Drosophila melanogaster: one gene and its partner. The protein of the gene in region 1 purifies or fractionates together with the protein of each later gene. This does not show direct contact. Each region holds a gene or a part of one and is shown on either strand. Other genes may lie near its edges. The genes, in order: CkIalpha and CG15710.

The links.
Region 2: the proteins of CkIalpha (region 1) and CG15710 purify together in Drosophila melanogaster (affinity purification with mass spectrometry, with the first as the bait; one large-scale study listed by BioGRID). This does not show direct contact.

The regions. Positions count from the first base shown.
Region 1 is NC_004354.4:12,648,171-12,657,622, forward strand, and holds the start of CkIalpha (casein kinase ialpha), read left to right. Parts: upstream 1-5,629; 5' UTR 5,630-5,998; intron 5,999-6,228; exon of another isoform or gene 6,229-6,362; intron 6,363-6,529; exon of another isoform or gene 6,530-6,799; intron 6,800-7,000; 5' UTR 7,001-7,067; coding exon 7,068-7,146; intron 7,147-7,207; coding exon 7,208-7,982; intron 7,983-8,163; coding exon 8,164-8,323; 3' UTR 8,324-9,452. Other genes in the region: tomosyn, read left to right, coding at 2,940-3,056, 3,125-3,247, 3,309-3,428, 3,505-3,954, 4,071-4,179, 4,245-4,331, 4,399-4,494, 4,569-4,693 and 1 more. UniProt on the Drosophila melanogaster protein: Casein kinases are operationally defined by their preferential utilization of acidic proteins such as caseins as substrates. Can phosphorylate a large number of proteins. Negative regulator of wg signaling.
Region 2 is NT_033778.4:16,343,343-16,352,608, reverse strand, and holds CG15710 (uncharacterized protein), read left to right. Parts: upstream 1-4,081; 5' UTR 4,082-4,142; coding exon 4,143-4,940; 3' UTR 4,941-4,995; downstream 4,996-9,266. Other genes in the region: wcd (wicked), read left to right, coding at 5,214-6,734; Nup62 (nucleoporin 62kD), read right to left, coding at 6,844-8,028.

The DNA of each region.
Region 1 (9,452 bases):
GTTTGCACACTAGTTTTGCTAACCCTTTTGTTGAGTGTCTCTGAAAAGTATGCAACACTCTCATCACCAACGCGCACACCAACACAGATTACACCTACACAACCACACCCACTCGGCACAAAAATAGAACAACAGAGAAATTGCAAAAAAAAAAACGAAAACAAAACTCGAAAAAGTAACCAAACCAACGAAATGTGAAAGAGATGGCCATTCAATCATTTAGTGCATTTATCTCTCTGTCTCTCTCTCTCTCTGTCTTCCTCTCTATCTATCTCTCTCTATCTCTGACTATGTGTGTGAATCTCTCTATCTCTCTCTCCCATGTCTCCCACAATTATTGTTTATGTATATTTTGCAATTGCTCAGATCAACGGCAGCGGAGTTGCAACTGCAGCACCGCAGCAGCAACAGCAGCAGCAGCAACAGTTGCAGCAATCACAGCAACAACAGCAGCAGCAGCTACAGCAGCAACAGCAGCAGCAGCAACAACAACAGCAGCAGCAGCAACAACAACAACAATCGTTAGGTGGTGATCCTGGTGATCATGCAACATCGACGTCAGCGGGAGCAGCAACATTGGCGGGATCCTCCATTTACGGTGCAGATGATGCAGGTGCGGGTGTTGCTAGTGGCGGTGTTGGTGTTGGTGGTATTAGCAGTGCGATTAGCGGTGGATTTGGTGGTGCGGCTGAGCCGCAACAGCAGCAACAGGTGTCGCAACAGTTGCATCAATTACAGCAACTACAGCAGCAATCGCAGCAGCAGCAGCAATCGTTTGAGGCGTCTTGTGATCCATGGGGCGGCGAGTGCGGCGGTGGTGGTGCTGGCGGCAGCGGCGGCGGCGGTGGTGCAAGCGGTGGTGGTGGTGCTAGCGGTGCAGGTGCGCAACAACATCAATATCAGCATCCGCATCCGTATCCGCATCCGCATCCGTATCCGCATCAAACATCCGTTATACAGCAACAGCAGTCAGTGACATCGTACGAATCCCTAAAAAAGTCCAAATCACAAGGTGGGAGCACAACAGAGCACTACAGTAAACAACAGCTAACAGCAACCACTACAACAACTACAACAACAACAATAGCAACCAAATATAACAGCAAGCAATACAAGCAACAACAACAGCAAAACAACAACCTAAACAGCAACCAACCAAATAATCAGATTGCACCTCTAGTCATGAAAAAAAAAAACAATTCGCATATTTTTTTTTACCAGTATACCACGCACACACACACGAACACACACTTTAAGTGCAGTTGAACTTCTCTATCGCGACCAACGAGTGTTTTTGACAGAGTAGCATATATATGCGTATATGCGGGCAATAGTCTGCAATGCAATGGCAGTTTAGAAGTTCGACTGTGTCTCTGTCTGTCTCTTTCTTTTTCGCGCACACACACGGTCACACCGCATACGCACACAACCAAGCAAACGCACACGCACGCACACACGCACACATGAATATGGACAGCAGACGATGCACGTTGCTTGTGGCCCCGCCCCCTTTCTCTGTATATGTGCGTGTCTGTCTGCGTATTTTGGTGTGTATGTGTGTGTGCGTGTTAAATTTGAAATTTTTGGAAAATTATTGGTATATTCCGTTTTGATTATATTTATGTTTCAGTATATATATATATATACATTTGTTTCATGGGGTTTTTGTGAGGGGGGGCGATGGCTGGAGCTGTCTGTCTCTTTTTCTCGCTCGTTCGCTCGCTCGCTCGCTCGCTCTCTATTTCTCTCTCTCTCTCTCTCTCTCTGTCTTTCTCTAGCCCTAGAAAACAATCTAGTTATAACAGTGCATATGAATATGTTCTCTCGATCTGTCTCGCTCGCTCGTTCGCTCTCTGCTCGCTGTCTCTTTTTTCCTTACTCTTACTATCTCACTTTATCCTTTACCTCTTGCTACTGTCTCCAACTATGTCTGTCTCTTTCGCTCTGTGACACTTTCTCTCTCTATATTCTCTCTCGGTATTTGTTCTTGCATTTGAAACCGAATAACTAAACGAAGAATAAGACTTACCGGATTTCTATAAAGATACATTTGGAAAAGAGTACAACAAGATCTGATTTTGTATTGGCAAAAAAAAAATATTTAACTTACGCATAGTCCTCACACACATGCACACTAACACACCCACACACACATCCATACAATAACGCCTAGCTAAGCACACATGCAAGCAACTTTCACTCGTACTTTTTTTTTGAGATTTTTTTTTTCTTTTACCTAGTCAACGCGCCTGCTGCTTTCAAAATTGCACTCACAGCCAGAAAGTTAGAAAACTCCGTGGAAAACTTACTCGGAAAATAGTACAAAAACAATAAATATTACAAAATAACAGTCGCTCGCAGTTACAGATATAATGTCTTCCATTCTTTAAAACGAACATTCCTTAATCGCTGAAGAATGGCTCAAAAAGTTTTAAATGTAAACTGAAAACGTAACCTTTTTATTATTTAATATTTGAAACACTTAAATTCTGCGAGCGACTGAAAACCACATTAACAAACACATTCACATGGAAAGCACACAGATCAATTAACAACCATTAGGCAGCCTAGCGGTACTTTAGTGTTGTGCAGCTCAAAAAAAAAAGCATAAAAAAACTTAGCGCAAAATCGCAATTGCAATTAGATAATAAAGAAAATTCGATTAAATATCTAAGCAATAGTTTTGCCTACTACCGCCCGCCGCTTTTACTCCTCTCTCTCTCTCTATCTATCTATCTATCTCTATCTCTCTTTATCACTCTATCTCTCTCTATTTCTGTATCCGCCTGTTTCTTTTCACAATATTTATGAACGTATGTAACGATTTTAATGTAACTCGTTTATTTATCTCTTTCTTCTATCTATGGCATACAATCCATCAAAAACAAAAAACCAAAATCACTTTCTGATTCCCAAAACCAAACCCGAATAAATTACAGATAAATTGGATGGAACTTTCTCAAGATCCAGATCATCGTCAATGTCCAGCATTGATATGTCTTCCTCTGAATCTGTTACCTGTTTAGCTTTTATCGAGAGTTATGCAAAACGAAATGGTAAGACTGATCGGTGATTAGATTATATCTTAACATCTATACATATATTTAACATTGTTTTTACTTAGATATTTTGACACTTGTTCCTACTTTGTGGATTGGAACTAGTTTCGGTTCGATACTGACATTGTTCATCACCATGCCCGAGCGAGATGTGCGCAAATCTCAGCCAGTATTGATAACAATAAATGGTAAGTGATAAAGCCACGCACATAAATGAAAACCTTTTTAAATATCTTCTCCTTTTTTCAGGTGGCCCCGTGGTACGACTCAAAGGATCCATAACTTCCATGTCTTTTTTAGACTCATACGGTTCGATCATACCCTATACGTTTGAGACCTGGCGTGACGAGAAGAGGGACAACAAAGATCGTAAGCATCTCGACTTCATACCACATTGATCTGATGCCCCCGACTAATCCACATATATATCCAATATGATTTCAAGGCACACCAACAAAGAGCAGCAGCCGCACCAGTCCCACATTCACACCGACAACTGCCAATACATTATCAAACACTTCGGTCGCGGGTGGTGCGTCCGCAGGCGGAGGAGCTGGCGGCGGTGGTGGTGCCGGCGGTGGTGCGGCCAGCGGTGGCGCAGCCGCAGGAGGGCCAGCCGGCGGTGGTGCCGGAGCAGGATCGGCGGCTGGAGCGGCCGGCGGCGTTGGAAGCGGTGTAACCAGCGGCGGGGGGATGAGCAGCAGCAGCGCCAGCAGCAGCGGCATCAGCGGAAGTGTGAGCACCGGCCTGGAAACTCTCACCGATCGACAATACATCGTTATCGCAAGCGAGAAGCAAACAAAAGTCTTCGATGTCGCCAACCAGTGCTGCATCAACCGCATACAATTATCGGAAATGGATTTTGCAGTCAAGGCAGAAACTATCACGATGAAAGGTGACTTTCACTTTGTTTTATTTTCATTTTATTAGTGGAGCAAGAAAGTCATAATTTGTTGTAATTAGTGCAATTGATTGTAATTAATACATATATCAACGTTCCCTTCATTCCAGATGGCTCTTGCTTAGCAACCTATCTTTCGAATGGCCATCTAATGGTACATAGTCTTCCTAGTCTAAAACTGTTATTGGATACTGATTTCTTACCACTTATGGAACTAAGGTGAGCCGTACACTTATAAGGTACTCTTAGCATTTTTACAACTAATGGTTCTATCGTCTATTTAGTTTTCAAACAAAATGTAAACAGGGAATTGTGGATCCAATGCTTTCGATATGGGGTCAACAGATCATTGTTCATGAAGATACAACTCAGTAAGTCCTAAGCTAAAATATATATTTTTATTTCCAACTTTTACTAATCTTGTTCCATTATCCACAGAATATCAAAAATATTTTGCTTTAGTCATAAAGGTCATGGATTGTACATGGCATCGCCCACCGAAATTCAAAAATTCACGATATCATCGGAATTTTGGTAAACCAAAACAAACATAATTCATTGTACTTTAAACATTGCATATTAATTTGTAATTCTTTCCCTTATTCAAGTCAATTTATTTTGGAGATGATGGGTGAACTATATACGGTACACGAAATGCCCGAACAGCCGAAGGAGGGTTTCTTCAAGGGTCTATTTGGTGGTGGCGCCAAACTCCTGGATCGCGAGGAGCTATGTGAGTAGATCTGCATCAGATCTGCATGTCGTTACCATCGATCATTTCAATAATCCGTACAATTCCTATCCCTATCCTTGCAGTTGGCGAGCAGAGCGGGAAACCGAATCGATCGGTGGCACGGCACATACCCGGCCCCAATTTGGAGCAGCTCGGCCAGAGGGCTTCCACCGCCGCATCGGAGATCAGCCGGGCGCACCAGCTGGCCATGGAGCGCGGCGAGAAGCTAAATTTGCTGGAGGAGCGCGCCGAGCGCATGGCCAACACTGCTCAAGATTTCAGCGGCACTGCGCATCAATTAATGCTTAAATATAAAGACAAGAAGTGGTATCAGTTGTAAAATATCTATTTTAGGAGCCAATTCTACCACAGTTATTGTAATATTGCTTTTATAACACTTTCTACTACATTACGAGTAAAGTACACTTATTTAATTTCTGTTTTCAAGTCGTCACGTTATTTACAAAAACCGAAAACCAACAAAAAAAAACAACAAAAACCGAAAATTCACAAAAACAAAAAAACTGAAAGAGAAAACCCAACCAAAAAAAAACTGTTTTTAATAAAAATATATAGACCAAAAAACAGGCACTGTGGAGTCTTAATGTATTCATGAATATTGTGGGTTATTAAAGTATTTTTAATTTGATTTCTTTGTTTCACATGTTTTATACGCTCGAACAAAGTGGGTGCTGCTTTCAATCGTTCTTTATAGTAACATCAACTCTGAGTAGACTTTAGTATCAGATTCGAACATAACAGCAGCACACGAGTGAAAAGTGTTTTCTGTTCCCCATTTGAATTATCCGCGCAGTGTTGTGTCAGTGCTGAAAATCGCCGCAGAGTCGCGAAGTCAATTTCAATCCGATAGTTTAGCAGTGTGCCACGGTGAAGTATCGTTTCTCGTTCATACCTATCTGAGCGTATCGTTCCACGATATCAGGTGGCAGTGTTTGGTTGAACCTATCGGGCCCTATCGATATAAGCAAAAGCATTTTTGCTGGATCTACCATTTTATTTTAGTTAATAAAATACATATATTTCCTCTCTTTTTGTTCCGTTTGTGCGCGTACAAAACTAGCTGCGAACTCGTGCAATATTTCATAAACTGAATGGGAAAACAACGATAACGACGAAAGAAAACGAAAACGGATCTGCGACGAAATTTTCCCCGTTCCGTTTTTTTTTCTCCACCAGCAGCAGAAGCAGCAGAGCAAAAGCAGCGAATATATTTGTAAAAGAGAGCCCCAACCTTGAGAAAAAACAACCAGCAGGGCAATAATTAGTTGAATTTATCGTCTGCTGGTAAGAAATGAACCCAAATGTGAACTTAGACCGTTTGATTTCCGCGAGGATCCATCATTTTTTCACCCATTTCGTCCAGTTTCAAATGCGTGCTAAATATGCTAACGTGTGTGTGTGTGTGATGGGTCTTCGATGGTGTGCGTGTCTCGCTGTGCGCTTCAATGTGTTGGTCTGCTTCTCACACTCTGCGTTCGTGTGTGTGTGTATATGTGTGCCTTCGAAATTTTCTTTTGTGTAAAACATTTGTAAGGTGCAACTGCAGCTGTGTGCGTGTGTGTGTATCGCTTTGACTGCCGTTGTTGTTTTTGTTGTTGTGCGTCATAGCAATGAGTGTGTGTGTGTGTGTAATATGCATTCCAACGGGGTAAGAAAGAAGAGGAAGCAGTACCTGTCGCCAATAAATATCGTATATCGATGTCTGTCTGTGTTTATTTAGAATTTCCCTTCAGCCCGCCCCCGTGCAAAAGGAAATATTGCTCCTCCTTCACCTCCATCACCTCAAGTAGGGATCAAGTGTAATCGATAATGCAGACATATCGATTGGTCCGTTGAGAAACATCAGAAAAACACGTAAAGTGCAAGCTGGAAAAGAAAAGCAAAACAAATTCCGGAGAGCAGAAAGAGAGGTGGAAAAGAAAGTGTTGAGAAAGGGATGACAGCAAAAAGAGGCTCTGGTGATATTAGTTAAATGTCAGCTGGTCTGTAAATCGTCGCGACATTTTGTGTTGGGGCAACTATTCAAAACTTTCCCAAAAACACTGTGAAACAACTCTAGAGAAGATACCACTCATTTTTCTTAAGGTTAAAATATAAAACAGTACACGATTACATTTTCTGGGATCCGCAAAACTGTTCGTTTTGTAATAGGTCCCTTTGTAGTATTAGAGTAATATAGTTGTTTAGATGAAGGGTGTTCAAGTGTCAGAATGATAATTAGTAACTCCTAGCGTTTAGTTCTTAACTTAATATATACAAAACATATAATGTTCCCAACCCATGCAGTTTTTCAAGTGAACGCGTCCAACTGTTTTTGAAGCGAAGCGCTTAGGCGGAGGAGCAGCTAGCCAGGATGGACAAGATGCGGATATTGAAGGAAAGTCGCCCCGAGATAATCGTCGGTGGCAAATATCGGGTGATCAGGAAGATTGGTAATTCAGCCGTGCGATTTTATCCCCACAATATTCTCTAATCTCTGAAAATTATTCACAGGAAGCGGATCGTTTGGCGACATTTACCTGGGCATGAGCATCCAGAGCGGCGAAGAAGTGGCCATCAAGATGGAGAGCGCCCACGCCCGCCATCCGCAGCTGTTGTACGAGGCCAAGCTGTACCGCATTCTGAGCGGCGGCGTTGGATTCCCTCGTATACGTCACCATGGCAAGGAAAAGAACTTCAACACCCTGGTCATGGACCTGCTGGGACCCTCGCTGGAGGATCTGTTCAATTTCTGTACGCGCCATTTCACAATCAAAACGGTTCTGATGCTCGTCGACCAGATGATCGGACGCTTGGAGTACATCCATCTCAAGTGCTTCATCCATCGCGACATCAAGCCGGATAACTTCCTAATGGGCATTGGTCGGCACTGCAATAAGCTGTTCCTGATCGATTTCGGTCTGGCCAAGAAGTTCCGCGATCCGCACACGCGCCATCACATCGTTTACCGCGAGGACAAGAACCTCACCGGCACTGCCCGCTATGCCTCGATCAATGCCCATCTGGGCATCGAGCAGTCGCGGCGTGACGACATGGAATCGCTTGGATACGTGATGATGTACTTCAATCGCGGCGTACTGCCATGGCAAGGCATGAAGGCCAACACCAAGCAGCAGAAATACGAGAAGATCTCCGAAAAGAAGATGTCCACGCCCATCGAGGTCCTCTGCAAGGGCTCGCCGGCCGAGTTCTCCATGTATCTGAACTATTGTCGTAGCCTGCGCTTCGAGGAGCAGCCAGATTACATGTACCTACGTCAATTGTTCCGGTGAGTACGATTAAATCATATATTGCATACGAATCTTAAGATTACACCCGATTGTTTTTGTGATAATGTTTGTGGTGATAATCATTGTGGAGGCTGTATTCGATATGTGTTTAGGTCATAGTTTTCTTGTTTTTTTTTTTTAATTCGAAATGATGTAACCCCAACTTTCTCTTTAATACAGCATACTGTTCAGAACGCTGAACCATCAGTATGACTACATCTACGACTGGACAATGCTGAAGCAGAAGACCCATCAGGGTCAACCCAATCCAGCTATACTCTTGGAGCAATTGGACAAGGACAAGGAGAAGCAGAACGGCAAGCCCCTGATCGCGGACTAAGAGCTGCAGCGCATTCAGACGAATGGGGGGAGTGCATCAGAGAAGGAGAACGTGGATGCGTGGATGTAAATGACGTTGATGTGGGCGAAAGGCCCGGCAAGGAGCGGAGCAAATATGAAACAGACGCAACCGTAAAATTGAGTAACACCAGCGGTCGTCCGAATGTTTCTTAATATTAATTTAAATTCAATACTAAACAAATAAGGAACCACAAACAAGCAAGCAACGGCATCATCAGCAGGGCATATAAAATGATACCCCAGCAAATGTGATTCACGAGTGAATCACTGCGATCGATAATAACATAAACCGAAATTATTGCAAATCAATACGATTTAAACTAATTTGCAATCCATACACAAATCAACATACTTGCATAACACACCCACACACACACATACATACACACACTCACCCACTCTCATCCACCCACTCAAAAAGCAAACATCATTGCCCAAAAGGGGGAGAAAAAAGAAAAGAAGAGAGAAGAAGAAAAGAAGAGGAAAGAAATCAACAACACTTAGCCTAATAAATTACAAGAAATAATATTGGTAGAGTTGGAGGAACAAAATGAAGTAATGCTGAGGAAACTAAACCTATATATATATGTATATGTATATATGTAAGCGAATAAACACAACACCATATATGTATGCATATACCCATTTGATTCACGTCAAATCGAATCCAATGCTTAATTATGAATCGAGCGAAACAAAACTCAATAACTAATTAAAATGGAATAAATAAGAAACAAAACAGCAACAAGCAAACAACAACACAAAAAAACAACAAACAAATAAGAATAAACAATAAAAAAAAATTAATAAAACACACCGAGAAAAGCAAACAAAAAAAATATAGTGGAGGATGCGGAGGAGAAACAACCAAGCAAAGCCAACTGAGATGGGGGAAAATATAAAATAAAAGCAGCAACAAGAGTAAAACAAGCAAATAATAATTATAATGAAGAAAGAAAAAGAAGAAAACAGACCGCAAAACTGCAAAGTAATTTTGCATAGTACGCCGTAATAATTATAAATATAACTTATATTTAATTTTTTGAATTACATCAATAAATATGTTGAAATTAAATTTCGACTCGGCGCTGTTCACATCTGCATTAGAT
Region 2 (9,266 bases), on another chromosome or scaffold:
AACTCCACTCCGATGACGGGATGCCGTCGTGACAATTCACATTTATGACGAGCAAATGGCCAGTATCCATATCAATTGCATGACTTGTCAAAGCGGCGCCCGCCTAAAAGAAAAGTGCCTCACATGGGATCGCATGTGTGCGTGTGTGTGTTTGTGTGTGTGTGTGTGGTGGGGGTGGGTTAAAATCGCCAGCAATTGCAGTTCAAGCAAGGAATCGCAATAAGGACTCCGATGTCCTGCAGCCATGTTTCCCTGGCAAATGAAATTCGAGCAATCATCGCCATCAACATTTCGCTTTACTTCAAAAGGGACACGGCGGCAACATGCCGCAAGTGACAATCATTTATATTTAATAAACAACTAACGCATGCAGGACACACAGCAGCGGCCAAGTAAATAGCACTCAAGGCGTGAATGTGGTTTTCCTGGTTTTTAGTCCTTGAACAAGTTCAAATGAAGTTCAATGCTTTATATATAAAAATTGAATAAATATGGCACATTCATAAATAATACCACTTGAAAAAATTATATTTGTATTTTCAATATATTTCTTTCCCAATATGCTTTGTATTTTTATGAATACTACTTGAAATTACAAAATAAAGGTGGCAATTAGTGAATTGTAAGGCACTTATTATTTTCCTTTGTTTTTGAGCTAAATAAATTCCAATTCCAATTGCTTGCCAGTTGCTGTAAGACCTACGATTGGTGGGGGCGGGAAAGTGGGGAAAAGCCGTTCGGAAAAACAACAGCAAGATGACGAGACTAAGCGGCCATTGTCTCCGCCCCCCTTCGAACCCCGCCCCCTTTGCAATGGAAATTGTTTACCATGCATTTTGTTCGATTCCGAGTCGAGGCGTCTGAATAATGCAGCAGGTAGTATACGCTGATGGAAAAGCGGAAAAGCGGGCGTGGAAAATGGGGGGGCGGTCAAGTAAATAAGCGAGCATGAAAGCGAAGACGAAAACAAAATGGGGCAGATAAAAACAACAACAACAACAACAACGCCAAAAGGACAACAATGCTGCAGACACAAAACCGCTTCGAATCGCTTTGGGCGGCATTCAAATTGAATATTGAAAGCATCGAGCACAAAACTGCCAAACGCTTGAATTATGCATTAATGATGTCTGCCACACTGGACAATATAGTGAAGGGGTGGCGGGGGAGTAAAGGGGGCAAGGATTGAGGGGCGTTTGCAGGATACAAGGGGTTTTTTTTTTTTGAAGCCAGGGACAAGAACAACGGCAATGCGTCGTCCTCGTCGACTGACCATCGCTTATTAATTTTTTATGCGTCTGCTATTTTTATGGTCGACATGAAAGCGTTGGCCACAAGCCTTTTATTTTCCTGACCATTTTCGGCTAGCTTTCAATAGTTTTTCACCGAAATTTCCATTTCAACCAGACGCGAGTTTGCGTTGAAAAAGTTACTAAAACTTATCCTACATAGGAGATTTTATTAGAAGAGATACTACCTTTTAAAGTCAAACGCTTAGAATAATTTATAAGGCTGATTATTTATTCCTGGCTTTTTAAAATAATTTAAAGATAAAGATTTCCAGCTTCATTGATATAGAAATGTCAAAAAAGTTCTATAGCACACGACAGTCATACATTTATTTAACCAATTAAAGCGATTCGAAATGGCATGGTGTTTAAGTGCTATTGCCATGTCGCGCACTGTCAATACAATGTCAATATGCATTGTTCGCTAATGTATCGCCAACAAAGTTTTACGCTTTTTGTCGCCAGATTTTCCCTTTGGCTTAATTCCGTTTGAACGACGAACGTTGCGTTGGACAGGATTTTGTCCTGCAAATAAAACGCGCCCTTGACAATGGCCGTCAATATGCCGATATCGGTGGACAGAAAGACGTTAATTACCAACATTACCGCGCGCCCAATTATCAACCGCACAAATCAGCGGTGATGTAGGTACGGGTAACCTGATGCACCGTGTGCGGGGCAATGGAAAACTCATTACATGCCACAGGAGCCATCATCCGTGATTCGAAAGATAGCACATAGGTGGAGCGATGGAGCACAGGGGCAGGTGGCCAGGCGCCACGCCCACAAGGAGCGACCGCAACATGCTGTAATGCGTGGCTCTATCAGCATTTGCATGTGCAGCTGGAGCTGGAGCTAAATGCGCCCGATACTTAAAGCCAACTAAAGGCCATATGTTAGCCTACACTGCCAAAGGACAAACTTAATGTCAACACGCTAATCTGTCAGTCGGCAGGAGTTGCAGCGCAGGATGCGAGATGCAGGGCGCGGAATGGGGGATACTGGCATGGCGGGGAGTTGGGAGTGCGACTGCAAAGGATCTGCCACAATGTCAGGCCACTTAAGGAGCGCTGAATCGCAGCGCCTCGCTGCACAGGAACTCAAGGATATTGGAAGTGGGCGGAAAATGGGCGGGGAACACTCCCAGAAAATGCAGCGATTCTTAGACAAACTTCAATCCTTGGAACTTGATTAGCTATTATTACTTAAGGCAAACGATTAAAAAAGCTTCTGCGTAAAGGATTAGTAGAAAGATATAAAAGAATCCCATATTCTGTTAATCTGAAATCAACAGATTCTGAAATGAAAAATATTCATATTTCAGATAGCTTACTTCAAAATAACTAAAAAGAATAGCCTAAATGGTTTAAAAAGCATATAATACATTCAAGAATAGTGTATGCTTTTTAAATAATTCACAATCTTTTGAGGAAATACCAACAACCCAACTTCGCGCTGCTTAAAATTAATGATAAGTATGTTTAATATTTATAGAAAATTATTTGCTAGTGTATCGCCGCCTGGATGGCGCAACAATAATGCTGGACCCTTTGAAATGACAAAAATTGGTTGCTCTCCGTGCGGCTTGACGCCTGACTTGGCAGGAGACACTCGAGGGCACCACAAATGCCAAGCCGTCACCCACCCAGGCACCCAACTAAACACCCACTGCTCCTACAAGCAACGTCCTCCCCCCGCGAAGGACGCGTCTTATCAACTATGCAGGGCTTTGTCTCTAAGCGATTGCAGGCGCCACCCCCCCTTTCCCTTCCAACCTGCCCCTGCCCCCTTTTGCTCCACGCAGTCAGCGTCTTTTGTTGCGCTTAATGAATTTTACGTAAATTTTACGAGCGCTGATTTCTGGCAGCAGCAGCACCACCCCAGCTATTAATCCACACTTTGGCGAGAGCACCACCCCCAGTGGATGGGTAAATTAGTGGGTGGTTGGGTGGTTAGTGGGTGGATGAGACTGGTGCTCTCCTGGTTGTGCGTGTGTAATGACAAGTTCAACAACAACTCGACATTGTCGACTGGTGACGAGGACGACGTGCTCCGACATTTGTTTGCCCAAGTTATGCAAATATTTTTCCAGTCAAGAAGTTTTTGTTTAATTGCATATTTTGACTCGCATTACGCGTGTCATAAAGCAGGGATCCGGAGCTTACCACAATGCCAGAAGTTGGGCGGGGATTAGAGGCACTCGAAAGACATGTTCCTGCATTTTACAGTTCAAAGACCAAACTAAACAATCAGTTTTACGAGTATAGATCTTATTCTGCCCAGGCTTGCCATTGAACTATAGCTATCTTCCTTAGAAATTAATTTAAATTAAATTTATATTTAAGTCTCTAAGATGATATTTTAAAAATAATTCCTAACACAGACGAAATCATGGAGAAGCCTTTAATATGGTTCATAAAACATAATTTATTTGCTGCGTTCGAAACTGTGAAGCTGACCTACTTCATTTAAAAACGAAATTAAACCGAATATATATAGTATGTATACTTCTGCTTTAGACAGTAAAAATGCATGAAGATTGTTTGCTTAATTGGTTAAACTAAATGATGGCTAAATATATTACCACCTCATTTATGGTAATCCGAATAAAACGTTTAATTTTTTTTTGGAGGAAAGCGTTGGATTCGAATTTCATTGCCTGGACAAATTTAAAAAGTTTACATTTTTGAGGCATACCTATCGCGTATACGCTTTCTTTCTTTTCCAGCCCTGACAGTTTCCGAGTATCGAGTATCGAGTATTACTTTCTATCTTTCAATGACAATGACCGGCGACTTTCTCACTTTCTTCGTACGCTTCTTACTGGCGAAACACAAGAGCCCACAAAGGATTATGACAAGTGCTGGCAACTGGATTTCCGAGGAGCTGGAACCAGCTACTCTACTGTCGATTCAGGAGGATAATGGTATTGTTACCAAGGTGTACGTGGCGCCCTGTTTGCAGCCGATAAAAGAGGAGAAAGTTTTCCTGGAGGACAACACGCAACGCTTCCACTGTCCGCTTTGCTCTAATGTGATTCGCACGGCCGGTGCCTACAAGGTCCATCTGATGGCCTGCCAAAGACGCTTGGCACGCATGATGAAGGATGTGCCGGACGTGTCCCAGCATCAGTGCAACATTTGCAAGAAAATCTTCTCCTCGGTGGATGCCCTGATCGGCCACAGGCTCCTGCATGGAAGCCCATCAATGAATCGCACCTGTGCATCCTGCCATGTCAAGTTCGGGACGGATCTGGAGTATCGCACCCATTTGGAGAGCCATCTGATACCGTGCGAGTCCACGGATGAATCCTACGAAGGGGCGTACACCATCACCAAGACCTTCAATTGCGTCTTTTGTCGCACGGAGTTCAAGGCCTGCTTTAAGCCTGGCCAAGTGACCCGTCGATACGCGTGCGACGCATGTATCGTAAGGCTGAAGGCCCAGGAGGAGGAGAAAAAGATCTTAGGGAAGAGAAGGCCCGAATTAATCTGTGATCGTTGTGGGAAAAAGTACAAATATGAGGGTTTCCTTCACCGTCATCTGAAAACTTGCCAGATGCCGGATAAATGCAAAAGAAAGCGTGAGATTGAAATCACCGAGGTCAGCGAGGTAACATTTACAGAAGTTGTGCAAAGTTTTAATAATTGATTATACAAATTCGCACATTTTAATTTTAAATTAAATAAATATATTTTTTAATTGTAATATTTTTTATAATTTTCAAATTATGGCGCCCATCCCACCGATATCTATTTCGATCTGCTATCGATGTGGTCACACTTATCGATAAATCCACCGTGGCGTGGTATTTTTGATTTAAAGCGTTAGTCGATTTCCCGCCCAGCTGCACGTGTATATTTTTTTGCGGTCCAAAGAAAAGTTCGTAAATAAACGAATTTGCGTGCATTTCCAGCGAACACGATGAGTTCAGACGAGTCCAGCGACGGTTTGGAGGAGCTGCAGAGTCTGAAGGCCCTCTACGGCCAGCAGGAGCAAGAGAAACCGGCAAAGATCAAAAGGGAACGTTATATTCCAAAGGCCTCGCAGGCCAAGGAGCTCAACTATGTGGAGGTGCCCATGGAAAAGGTGCTCTTCGGCGACAGGCAGCGACTGCTCACCAATCTAGCCAAGTCCGTGGGACAAAAGTTGCCGAACGATGACGAAGACGAGCAGGAGGAAAATCCCGGCCAGGCAAAGCCAGGCGACAAGCGGAAAGCCGCCTGGTCGGATTCCGATGACGAGGACCTGCAGGTGGGCGATGTCAAGAAGGCCACAAAGCACACGGGTCCACTGAACCACCTGCGCAAGGATAAATCGTACAAGGAGTATCTTACGGCGCGATTCCAGCGCACGCTTAACCAACCCAAGTGGGCGGAAAAGAAGGTCAAAAATGAGGACGACGAGGACGTATCCTCCGACGAAGAACTGCTGCGGACGGTTGGCTTTATCGATCGTAAAGCCCGGAACAGTGATCTGCCCCAGAAGACTCTGAATTTTAAACGGGTCAAAGACCTGAACAGGGCCACATATGCCGAGGGTAATGCCACCAGCATTCAGTTTCATCCAACCAGTACTGCTGCTCTAGTGGCGGGCATGAATGGCCTAGCCACCATCTACGCCGTGGATGGGCAAAAGAACGAAAGGTTGCACAACATGCGCTTCAAGAAGTTCCCGCTGGCGTGCTCCAGAATTGCTCCATGCGGCACAAGGGCGTTCTTTGGTTCTGTGAAACCATTCTACTACTCCTACGACTTGCTGGAAGCCAAGGAATCGAAGCTAAAGCTGCCGGGCGCAATGGAATTTATGCACCGCTTTGAGGTGTCTCCATGTGGCAAATTTATCGTCACTGCTGGCAAGTTTGGAGCCATTCACCTGCTCACGGCCAAAACAAATGAGCTGCTGCACAGCTTCAAGCAGGAGGGCAAAGTGAAGGGATTCACATGGTCTAGTGACTCCAAGAGGATCCTCGTCTGCGGTTCCACTTCCAATGTCAGCGTGCTGAACCTGCGCCAGAACCTCATCGAGCACATCTTCATGGACGACGGCTGTATACATGGAGAGTCCATTCAACTGTCTCCCAACCAACGCCTACTGGCCACCGGCAGTCAAGAGGGCGTGGTCAACATCTACGACTACGAGAGCATTTTCGCATCCAAGGCCCCACAACCCGAGAAGCGCTTCATGAACCTACGGACTGCCATCACGGATCTCCAGTTCAATCACTCATCTGAGCTACTGGCGATGTGCTCCAGTGAGGCGCCGAATGCTTTTAAGCTGGCCCATTTCCCCAGCGCCACTGTGTACTCCAATTTCCCGGCACAGAACGAGAAGGTTGGCTTTGTGACCTCCATGGCCTTTTCGCCGCACAGCAGCTTCCTGGCCTTTGCCACTAAGGGCAAACAGGTGCCGCTCTTTAGGCTTAAGTACTTCAAGGGTTATTAATTGAAGGCAGTATGATGTTTACAATAAATTCTTAAATAAAATCATTACTCTTTCTGTGGTTACAATGGAACCATCTTTATTTAAGTTAACAAATTAAGGGGACTTATCTTTAGAAAGGAGCTCGGAAAATATCGCGTTTCTGGGAGTCTTGAATCTTGCCAATGTCTTCCAGCTTCTTGCTGATGTTCGTCGACTGCGATTCGATCCACTGCAACGAATTCATATGGGCATTAAGGATTTTTCCGATCTGTATGATGGGATCAGTGGTGTCCTGGCCCTTGTTGGCCTCGTTCAAGTTGTCTATTATCTCCTTTAGATCCTCGGACATCTGCTTCAGTTGTGTGTCCAGATTCTCCACCATCAGGTAGGTTTGGCTGCGTTCCATGTCCACCCTCGGGAGATTAACGAATTCCTTCTCAAGCGGTCCCAGGCTGTCCTCAAGCTCTTTTTGCTGCGTGGCTATAAACTCCAGCTCCTGGTCCAGCACTTGCTGATCGGTTTTCACTTTTTTCACGGCATCGTTGAGCTCGACGATCTTCCCGTTGTTGCTGATGAGCAGTTTGTCCCATGCGTTGATCTGAGTGGCCTGTTCGGTGAATACCTTTTCCTGTTCCTCGAACTCGAGAGTCCACTTGTTGATATGCTCCTCAAGTTGGTGGTAGGACAATTGGGATGCCGTGGAAACGGCCGATGAGTCTGTGGTCTTGGTTTCGGTAGTGAGATTGGCAAAAGCACCACCAGTACTTAAAGTTGGGGCCGGTGCAGCTCCCTGCGTGGAGGCTATGGCCGACGGAGCTGCAGTCAGAGTTGTGGACGCAGCGGCCGTGGTCTTGGGAGCTCCCAATCCAGACCCGCCCAGCAATCCAGTTGTGGTAGCTGCGGTGTTGGGTGCACTGGTTGCTATAGTTGGCACCACAGATGCCGCTGGTTGAGCCGTAAAGCCTCCGAAGGCGGGAGGAGCAGCAGAGGTTCCAGTCGCGGTCGCAGAAGTGGTGGACGCTGGATTTGCGGCGGCTTGAGTGCCCAGCGTGAGGGGAGCTGAAGCAGTCCCGGATCCCAGGCCAAATCCAAAGGCTGGTGGAGCCTGCGCCTTGCTGTTGTCTGCATCTCCGCCACCGATACCAGCAGTAGGTGCCGGTGTTCCGAAAGAGAATGTGGTTTTTGTGGCGGGAGCCGTGGTTGCTGCTCCTGAAGCTGGTGCTGCGGCTGGTGTTCCTGTGCTGAGGCCGAAGGAAAACGACGATGTTGCGCCTCCGGTCGGGGCGGCGGTTGTTGTTGGCAACTGGAATACCATGCTTAAACTTAAGACGAATAATATAAATCTAAATCAAACGAAACACGCCAAAAGCAACCAGTGTGACCCCTCCTTGGAGTTCCGCAATGTTGTCGGTGTTGGAAATCAACTAAATTTGAGCTCAAGCTAGCTATTTTCAAGCCAAAACACTTAGCAGTTTGAAGATTGGGCGGCAAAATTAAATTTTAAATTTCTTTGAATTGGCAATACAAATGAAGTACTTTGCTCAGTCGACGATACATTTTTGTTACTAAAACATGCTGAAAACCAAAACATTTATATTATTTTAACGTTTGCAATCACTTTTTGCACTTTTAAAATATATTTATGTCTGTGTCCGTTTTTTTAACCAGCGATCAACTAACTTGCGAAATCGACAAACAACACTGGTCGAGAGCTATGTTTTAGCTCCAGTTTTAGTCGTACATGGAACAAATCATTCCGCGCAACTTAAATAAAAAAACCAACTCAGAAAGAAAACGTAGTCAATCGTACAAACAAAATCAATAACAAAACACCGGCTTTAATTAGTCATCTTTTGCTATCTGTAAGTGCAAAGGCGATAAGGTAACATTTGGGTCAAAAGAATTCAATTACAAGCCCAAAGTGCAGCGGCACTCAGTTCAGTAATTGCATTTTGCTAAATCAGCTAAACACATGTGTGCTTCCTATCAGAAGGTTCGTTCTGCGTACCTGTGTAGGTTCTCTTCAGAGCTGCCAGCCACAAAATTAGAAAAATTACCTAAGGTACAAACGTAATGCGGTACAACAATTAGAGCTTGTCTTTGACCTTCGGTTTTTTTTTTTTTTGTAATAAGATTCTTTTTAAGATTTTCATAAGATCTGAGATCTGATCCTCAAAAACAGAAATTTTAAATTATTCTTAAAAACCAGATCAAAATTTTCTAATAAAAGACCATAGTTCCTATGTTTTGTTAGTACATGTTTTCCCATCACTAGTACCGTGCTCTAGTCTACTATGCTTCCAACTATTTCCCCAACTTTGTTGACCAGTGTAGCTGGCAAGCAGCGCCAGAATTGAACAACAAAAGCATATCAGAATCAAAAGCCCCTGTTCTCGGTCTCTCCTCGATTTTCTCTATTTGCTCCCTGTGATCGCTGTGAACTTGGCGTGATAAGGGGCTCCGGCTCCTCCTGCAATCGAGAAAGCCCGCTGTTTGCGCCACCCGGCGAACACCAATCAGTCGATGGGAGTACTCCGCTGCAATAGCAATTAG